Daphnia pulex: one gene and its partner. The protein of the gene in region 1 purifies or fractionates together with the protein of each later gene. This does not show direct contact. Links are inferred from orthologs where the notes say so. Each region holds a gene or a part of one and is shown on either strand. Other genes may lie near its edges.

What was found. The genes of interacting proteins can lie anywhere in the genome.
Region 2: the proteins of E3 ubiquitin-protein ligase MYCBP2-like (region 1) and F-box/SPRY domain-containing protein 1-like purify together in Caenorhabditis elegans (affinity purification with western blotting; 3 studies listed by BioGRID). This does not show direct contact. The link is inferred for Daphnia pulex from reciprocal best matches to the Caenorhabditis elegans genes rpm-1 and fsn-1.

What each region holds. Positions count from the first base shown.
Region 1 is NC_060019.1:11,808,241-11,812,913, reverse strand, and holds part of E3 ubiquitin-protein ligase MYCBP2-like, read left to right. Parts: coding exon 1-489; intron 490-560; coding exon 561-926; intron 927-1,010; coding exon 1,011-1,148; intron 1,149-1,209; coding exon 1,210-1,593; intron 1,594-1,659; coding exon 1,660-2,006; intron 2,007-2,082; coding exon 2,083-2,410; intron 2,411-2,499; coding exon 2,500-2,614; intron 2,615-2,682; coding exon 2,683-2,855; intron 2,856-2,937; coding exon 2,938-3,069; intron 3,070-3,155; coding exon 3,156-3,386; exon of another isoform or gene 3,387-3,429; coding exon of another isoform or gene 3,430-3,609; intron 3,610-3,669; coding exon of another isoform or gene 3,670-3,824; intron 3,825-3,883; coding exon of another isoform or gene 3,884-3,981; intron 3,982-4,052; coding exon of another isoform or gene 4,053-4,264; exon of another isoform or gene 4,265-4,325; intron 4,326-4,572; coding exon 4,573-4,673. Other genes in the region: uncharacterized protein LOC124191239, read right to left, coding at 3,430-3,609, 3,670-3,824, 3,884-3,981, 4,053-4,264.
Region 2 is NC_060023.1:5,715,508-5,720,113, reverse strand, and holds F-box/SPRY domain-containing protein 1-like, read left to right. Parts: upstream 1-1,882; 5' UTR 1,883-1,978; coding exon 1,979-2,082; intron 2,083-2,202; coding exon 2,203-2,441; intron 2,442-2,511; coding exon 2,512-2,609; intron 2,610-2,672; coding exon 2,673-2,804; intron 2,805-2,862; coding exon 2,863-3,048; 3' UTR 3,049-3,546; downstream 3,547-4,606. Other genes in the region: transcription factor Dp-1-like, read right to left, coding at 1-197, 265-362, 440-497; WD repeat-containing protein 44-like, read right to left, coding at 4,554-4,606. UniProt on the Caenorhabditis elegans protein: Component of a SCF (SKP1-CUL1-F-box protein) E3 ubiquitin ligase complex which is required for the restriction and/or maturation of synapses in GABAergic neuromuscular junction (NMJ) presynaptic neurons.

The DNA.
Region 1 (4,673 bases):
TCTCCACTGCCGGTAGCGTTAGAAGAGAGTTGGAACACGGAACGAGGGGAATCGGCAAGCAATCATCAGATACAACCGGATGTTCCTGACAACAAAGTGGCATCGTCTTTAACTCCAACACTTAGCCTCCTGGTCGAACTTTGGGAAAAGATGAGCGGGCGTTGTGTTGAGTTGATACAGTCTGAGCCGACGGCTTCATCCTCGACGCTCAGTGTCGCCCAGTTCCAGAATGAGAGCGTGTCCAAGGCTAAACCGAAAACTGAAAACAGAGATGCACGCGATAAAGAGCGAAAACGCAAGTCCCGTAGAGAGAGCATCCGACCGGAATCTAACTGTGAACTATGCGGCGGATTGTTTGCCGTGCCTGTAACCGCTCACATGAGACAAGCTCATCCAGGCTGTCAGAAGCCAGCCCTTGGATTGGGTTACAACCCCGACGGACAGTACTGCGGGGGCTGGGTAGGAAATTGTGGCGAAGGAGGCATTCAGGTTAGATCCAAATTGGATTCCTCAGTTGATATGGAAATTAATTCTAGCTTATTTTTGTGTTGGTCTTATAGGGAAGTTCGTGGTACTTATTGTGCGAGGATTGTCGACATCGGTACTTGCAACAGAGGAGACAAGTGGGTGAAGCATTCGGCCTTAAAGATGACAAGGGCAAGCGATTGAGAAGAAAAGTATCAATCACTTCAACTACCACACCCACGACCCAACTGTTAAGACCCTCAACACCATTGGAGACACACGTCATTCTCAAAGACAACGCTCTTTTCTTATTGCAACTAGCTACGTCGTCCAGTCCTGAAAAGAATCAACAAATACTGGAACGAAGAAGAAGGAGCCTAATGCATCAGCCGTCACTTAGTTCAGTCTCCGAAATTGACAAGGATTTGTCAAACAGAAAGATTTCAGCCCCACCTTCCAAGGTGAAAATCTTTGCAGTGTTGCTGTTTCGATTTCGTTTTTAAAGCAGATTATTATTTACTAATTTTTCTTTGTCCCATTTCTAGAGTGGATACCAAGCGTCAGGTGATATTTTCCCTTGGCTTCAATTTCAATGTCTTCCCGTTCTTAAATCGGGATGCAGCCCTCAGCTGTCCAACAACGAAGTTAATTTCGGCGATGGAGAAGTGGAAAATTCCTTTGAAGTATTACATATCAAGTGATAAGTTTAATGATTTTGTGTTTGACAGTTTTCTATTTCAAAAGATGGATCCTTGTCGAGGAATAAAAGAAAGTTGCGATGGGTTCGGCAGGCAGTTACATCGATCGGTCTCTATGATTACACAGCCACTTGCCCAACATCTGAGATCATCTCAAGAGCCGGACGGTTCCATCACTGGAGTATCGCAGAGGAGACGAACCAGCAGCGCTGATGAACAAGGAATCGACGGAGGTTTAGCGCTTTTGCGTTCACCCTCCAAAGCTCTCCAAGATACCGTTAAGTTAATGTCCGGATCTCATGACCATGCGGCAACACAATCGACATTGCCGGTTTTAGATTTTGTTGCTCAGCGACATGATCTTGACTCTCTTCGGACTTCCATGGAGCTGGCGTTGCGAAAAGCCTCTTGCCGTGTCTTTGCAATGGAGGTGTGTCATCACTTGATAAAGTCTTATCACTTGGAAAATCATTATGTTATATTGTTTATCCATTAGAATTTGTCGTGGCTCCTGCAAAACGTCACTCAGCCAGTGTGCTTGCATGATCTTCTCTGGTGGTTAGTATCGTCACTTGCTCCGTCTCTGGAAACAGCCAACAACAAAGTGGAGACTGGGGGAGCTGATGGATCGACAAGCAAAGACAACTTAGTAGGACAGCATCCAACTTCAGACGTCAGTTTAGCTGGAGAAGGATTATCGCCGCTACTGCAGTCGTTTCACGGTCTTCTACAAACGGTATCTAATCTGATGCAACTACTCCCGATGGGCACACCTCTACTTGCGATGGCCGTCCGTTGTTGGGACATTCGATTCAAGCAAACCGATCACGCATTTCTTCACAAGTGAGTTAAAAACTGATGAATTAATATGTAGAAAGCTGTCCGTTTCTTAATGATTTGTCTTTTTTCGTGCACCTAGGAGCCACGTATTTAGCAACATCAGTCGAATTCTTTCGCGTTGTGAAGAGGAAGCAACTGTCGATATCGAAGCATTAGAAAATACTGCAATTCATTCAGCTGGGCATGTGACGATGTTGACTGAAGTCACAGAGGGAATAGACATTAAGGTGTCTAGCCGCACTGCCATGGTAAATAGTTTGACTGATGGCTCGACCGAAACCTTCTGGGAATCAGGCGACGAGGACCGGGGTAAAATGAAACTCATAACCATCCAAGTTTGTCCTGAAACGGCTGGATTTCCACCACGCATTGTTTGTTTATATGTCGATAACAGTCGAGATATGGGGGTGAGTTATCCATTTCTTAGTTTTTATAGATTTTTATTAAATCCTCGTAAAATCCTCTTTAATTATCATGTTATTTATTCTTTTCTTAGAACAAAGTTTCTGGAGTGACTTTCAAAGCCGGACCAAATGGAGAAGAGCTGCAAATCGTGGACGTCTTAGAAGTAGAAACTCGATTTTCTGGGTGGCTTCATACTTCCCTACCTCGTATGCGTTTTATTTGAATTGTCGCCATTAGGAATTAAATCATGATTTGAATCATTTCTTTACTATAGAAATCAACTTCCAGATCATCCAGCTTGAGTTGAAAGGGCCCGATAACTCGCTTCGCATTCGTCAAGTTCGCTTGCTGGGTGGAGGTATCTCTCGGTCCTTCAACGCTTTAGCCATTCATCAACGAACGTGCGAGACGGAAACACTGCGAGTGTTTCGTTTATTGACCTCACAGGTATTTGTTTTGAAAAGTTGACCTACGATTCGTGAGTTTAGTTAACATAACACTAATTACGTTGCAATTTCTTATTTTCCAGGTCTTCGGTCGGCTGATTTTAAACGAGGGAGATGCCTCTCCTTCACGTTCTACCGATCGTGGACCCAATGAAGATGAAATGGATGGAGAAATAGCTGAAAGGACTCGGGATATTGATTTGAAAGAGCACATGGTATGGCAATATCTACTGTTTCAATTTTTTTTTTGTGCTATTTAAATATGCTCAGTATATTTATTATTATGAATTTGTTTGAACAGGTTGGAATATTGTTCAGCGGCAAGAAGTTGACTCACTTGCAACGCCAAGTGTGCACTCACATATTGCATGGCATTCAGCGGGAAACCGTTCGGTTGAAAGAAGAATGGGATGCTTTGCTACAATTGGAACAACAAAATGACACTTTAACTGGAACCGATGCTATAAATCACGATGCCGGCTACGTTAATTCACGGATCTCTGATTCGTATTGCTTCGAACTCTTATCGCAGGTAAATGTTTTGGCCCACGTCTCTTAGTATTAATTTACAGTATTCACATCGGATCTAGTTTTTGTAATTGATAGAAGAAACTAAAAGCTAGTAGCGATTGAAGTGAAGTAAACAAAATTAGGAGCCATCCATAGCGTTCAAAATTGGTTGATGCACTCAGAGCTAGTCCGGCCCAATGGAGTGTTTCAATTTTGGCGAAAGTCAGTCTCCACGCGATCATTCTCTGATCAAAGAAAAACAACGTTATTCCGATTTAGTGACTGATCAGAAGTAGGATAGAAACCTTTTCGTTGCGATAAATGTTAGGTTCCTGTAAAAAATAGCAGCTGGAAATTATGGACATGCTGAAACCGACATAATCTCTCCAACTAGCAACGTATTTTGAAGGACAGCTAACGACGCTTGCCGTTGGCATCAATTTGATGAAAGTGGCTATCCCTGGTAGTAGAGTGGGTTGCAATAAGCACATAAAATTTTTAAATATCGGTAGTGATTACCTTTAGTCACGTGTGCCATACACAAATAGAAACCAAGAATTTCAGGATTGGCCAGTCGATTCCAATCAGTGCTGCGAGACTGCCGTGAAACTTCATGACTAAGACAGAATTACTGTATTTGAGTTTGAACATTGACAAAAGGAGAATTTTTTTTATTGATTTTTTTTACCTGACGACTCCAAGAAGGACACACGCAATATGGGTTGTGCCGCGGAAGAAAAATTTGTTGGTTGAGAACACAACAAAGGTTGTGAGAACGACAGATGTTGCTGAAATAGTATCATACCATGATTTGATATCGTAACGAAGTGAAATAAATGCTGCTATCAAGTGAGGCCCAATGCAGCACAAGACATGCAAACGCAAAGCCGATCTATTCATGACCAAATAAAAAGACTGGATAAAATTGTTACATGTTATACGTTGCTCGAAAAGATACCCAAGTTTCTTATCTCTTTTTTAAACCAGATCTCTACTTTTTTTCCTCATTTTGTTATCGGCTTGCTTTCCTATTTGTGTTGAACATACTTGTCAATTTTGCATGCACCTTATCTAAATCCCTGGTGCGTAATCGCTAGTGGGTCTAAATGACCTTGATTTATTTTTTTCTACTCAAGATGATCCACGATCCTCAATACTATAATCATCACCATGCGAATCGTTTTATTAATTTCGATTTATTTGCGTAGGTACTCGCCTTGAGCGGAAGTAGAGTCGGACGAACCTACATCTCGCAACAGTCTACTTTACCGGCCAATTTGTTGAGCTTGCTTCATACCGGTTCACCTCG
Region 2 (4,606 bases), on another chromosome or scaffold:
CGTTGAGGAGTGCTCAACACAACAGGCACTACTGGTAACTGTACAGCAGTGTTTTTGTTACTCGGAGTAGATCCATTTCCTGATGATAATGGTATGGCTAGTATCTGTCCAGCTGCCACTTGTCCACGAGGTCCAGGTGCTCTTGTCACTCTGCCAAGTGACTGCAACATCTGAGGTGTGGCAGCCAAAACGGTTCCCTAAACAAATTTTCAGCCAACATTGTTAACATCTTTTACATTTTATTCAAGCACATCCTTGACTTACATTAGATCGCAGAACAGCTCTAACTGCTCCAGAAGCCATGGACACTGGAACACCTTTTCCAGCAGTGGCATGCACCACTTTTATCATTTGTGGCTGACCTGGAATGCAAACAACCATCATTTTATTATCTTGTTGAAAAGAATGAGATAATTTCTTAGTCTAGACTTTGACATACCATTTGCATCTTGGATCCAAATGTTGGTGATGTTTCCAGTTGGGGTTGACTGTGCCATCTCCTTAACCTCTTGTAAATTTATTTATATTATTTAACTGTAAAGAGAAGAGATCAAGGAAGATCCAATGTGCTGACAATGTTTTGTCAAACAAGCATCTTTGGTGGGTGGGACCAAAAGTATGATCAACTGAGCGCCGTTATAATTCGAACTTCCTGTCAAATTACAGATATCATCAAATTTCATATAGAACTATGATAGAATCTAAATAGACTAAAATGGAAATTCCCCGTATTTATTCCTCCAAATGATTTCAGAACACGATGAGCGAAATGGCGCCCAAAACGCCATCACCAGTCGATACCCCACACCGGTAAGTTTTCCCCCTTATTTTAAGATTTTTGCAGACATCTTCACTTAAACTTTCCAAGCTCAATGACAAATAGTATCCTCCTTTATTATCTAATTCACTTTATGAATAAAAAATAAAAATCCCCTCAATCCAAAACAAAAGAGACAATAGGGTTTACCTAAGGTTCTGGGCCAACTTTATACGATCGTCACTAGACACACACTGCTGTAGCATCAGCAGGCAGCTAGGCAAAAATGCACGAGGGGGTGATGATGGCACAGCAGGCCAACGGCTTAGTTTTTATTATATTTTTTTTTTCTTTATTTTTTCGTCCGGGGGGTTTACTGAGTGAGCGTCTTATATGTACGTCATATGAGACTGGGATTCAATTCAATTCTAACTTCTCCATGAGTTCGCTTTCTATCTATCGCAATTTGCAATGAAAAAAAAATCGATACTTTCAACGGGCAGAAATTCGAAATTCAAACAAACTCGTGACCTTGGGTCGTTGGGTGAGAACAAAAATATGAACAAATGATTTTCGATTTTCCTTGCTCGTTTAATTTCTCCTTTTCTCTTTTTCAAATATTCATGTAAAATACTAAGTAGCGCTAAAACATGAAGGAGAAAGAGGAAATTAATTAAGCGCAGGCAAGTGTTCAGCGATTTCGTTATTTTATTTTATTAATTTCTGAAATATATTTTTTTTATTTCGCTCTTTTAAATTGGTCTATTTTTTTAATTTGGCTGTTAATACAGTTATCGTAATAAATGTATCGTAATAACTAAGTGCTAATTTGATTAATTTCATGGGAAAAGCGTTAAATTTTTATTGAAATCGAGCATGAATATGAATGAAATCATAAATCAGAAGGCTAAGTAAAATCAAACGTCGTCTGCTTTTCCGGATACGCGGGAACCATTTCAAACATAAACTAAAATATTATTTTATCTTAAAAACTAGTAAAAAAGTAGTTTGATATTAATATATCGTTTTTTCACAGGTGTAATTCAGTGTTTTATCAAGTTGTTTAGATTCTCATAATTTTTGTTCGGTTTTCTTATTTCAGATCAATTGCTATGGCAATGTGGCAACACCGGTTCTGCCATAGAAGTATTGTCAATTGCAGAAAAAATCGAAAGAAATTTCCTAAATGAATGTTGAAGTGTTTGCGAGCCGGCGTTTAGAATGCACGTGGATATACTACCAGATATTATACTAGGAAATATTTTCTCATATTTGCCGCTGCAGGATTTAAGAAGCAGTTCGTTGGTGTGCAAACGGTGGTACAGGTACAAGTTTTCTTGAAATCAACACCAGTTTGTGACTATTCGCTAGTGATCTACCGTTGCTAACAAAACCAGCGATTGTTTGAAACTTATGTTCTCCTTGCACATTATTATTTGAATCAGTATACTGAATGATGAGGACAATGATGTCTGGAGACTGCACTGCATACGAAAACTGGCAGAAGAAGTCCTGAGCTCAGACCTCCTATCTTCCGCTCCTACCTACAAAACAAAATTAAAAGCATTTCACCATGCTTGGAACCCAGAAGACTGCTCTAGAAACATTTATATCAAACCCAATGGTTTTACCATACACAGAAACCCTGTTGCACAGAGTACAGATGCTGTGAGAGGTAAAATTGGTGAGTACTAAATATTGTAGATGCCTGTTGCAAGTGTACATATTAATCCATTCAACTAATGTTTGTGCAGGATTCAGTCAAGGTAGGCATGCCTGGGAAGTGATGTGGGAAGGTCCTCTTGGAACAGTTGCAGTTGTTGGAATTGCAACTAAAGAAGCAACTCTCCAGGTATAATTGTGTTAAAATTTGAATATTTTATCTAAAAATAATTGTCAAAATCCATGTTCACAGACACATGGATACATAGCTTTACTAGGATCAGATGACCAAAGTTGGGGTTGGAATTTGGTTGATAATCATTTACTTCATAATGGAGATTCCCAAGGCAATTACCCAATGCTGAACAATGCACCTAAATACCAAGTGATTGAGTCTAACCAATGAATGAGTTGAATCAACCTAACCTAAAGTTTTGTTGCAGGTTGGGGAGCGGATACGAGTCATTCTTGACTGTGATGACAATACATTAGCTTTCGAAAGAAACTATGAATTCCTCGGAGTGGCGTTTAGGGGCTTACCAGAGAAGCTCTTATACCCTTCGGTGTCGGCAGTCTATGGGCACACAGAAGTCTCAATGGTCTACCTGGGTCCTCCCTTGGATGGCTAACTGTCGCCTGTCCCCCTCTCCTAAACAGAAAATTTCTTTGTGTGAATCAATTTCTACAGGCAAATGCGTTTTGCCAACCAAGAAAGGATGTTGTTGTAAAAGAATCCCAAAATTCAGTGTACAAAGGTTGCGTTGGGAATACCGCTCTGACTTAAAACATTCCCGTATTTTCCCATTCTTCATTTATTTATTATTTTTTTTTTTTTCATGATTTCCCTGGTGTGTGTCAGATTATTGTAGTGTGTTACAATTCAAATTTCGTGTGGTTGTGTTTTCACGTTCAACCGAAAACCAACAAATGGTTAATCGTCCGGTCTGACTGCTACTTGCGAAATAGATTTGTATAACTTAAAATTTCCCTGTGTATGTTTGTATGACTTGGGACTGGTGATGATGCTAAAGAATAACTGAACCTCTTACTGCCCAAAGTTTGGCGTTTTGAATAAAAAAATCTAATTCGTGTTTAATTACTCGAATAAATGAAAAATGACTTGTCTACACTGCCTTTATTTAATTTTATAAATAAGCATTATTCAAACACTTAAAGGTGTTAACCAATGAGTAAGGAATCAGGTTTTCTAAGTACTCCTACATTTACCATCGTATACGAATGGATTCGATCGTTTAGGTTTTTTCTAGCCTCATTACTACTTCATGTGTGATTTTTTCTCTTCTAACGCTTCTAACTGAGAAATGTACTGATGGGCACTTGGATCCTAGATTTCTAGCAACATATTGGTCAAAAACTGTCTTGAAGGTCAAACAAAAAAGTTTGTTTAACTGTATTTCCATTACGCTCATCAAATCGAACGACGATCGAGTAAAGGCTTTAATGGTTTTTCGCATGTTGAATTAATCAAAGCGCAAAAGCAATATCATTCCAAAAATAGGTCAAAATCAAAGAAAGTTTCGTCCCCTCTTTTATGGTTTATTGTGTACGTTGACCTTCATCAACCTCATAAAGCGAAGTGTAAGTGTCATGTACCACCGGAATTTTCAGTTCTATTCGATTCACAAGCAAAGACAGCTGGTCATTTCCTCCCCATTTTCAATTTCTATTTGTACATCGCCTTAGGGGTTCCAAACCCTAAGGTAGGTGGATTGGATATTCTATTGTGTGACCAACAAAACACGTTTTCCGTCGATTTACTTTCGACCAAAAAAAAAAAAAAATCCTTGTGACGGGAATTCTGTTGCGCTGCCCAATGGCAATCCGCAAGAAAGGACAACATTGAATGCCTCTACCATCTAGCGTCAAAAATGAAGAGCGGTTCAAACAGGAAGAGTTTTCTGAATTAAATAATCACGCACTCGATAATCGGAGGCGTGTATTCATTGCCATAAATGAATGGGCATGCTAAATTATTATATAGTTTCTTTGGGTTGCGCGATAATTTCATAATTTCCAAACTGAACCATATTTATCTGTTGTCGTCACGTCGACTGAGAAGAACGACTACATTGTCGATTGAAATTTTCCAAGCCGTTCGACTATTTTTCTCTTTTTAGGACATTGCAGAAACGGGCAAAGAACTATGCTTCGGTTTGACTCGATTGA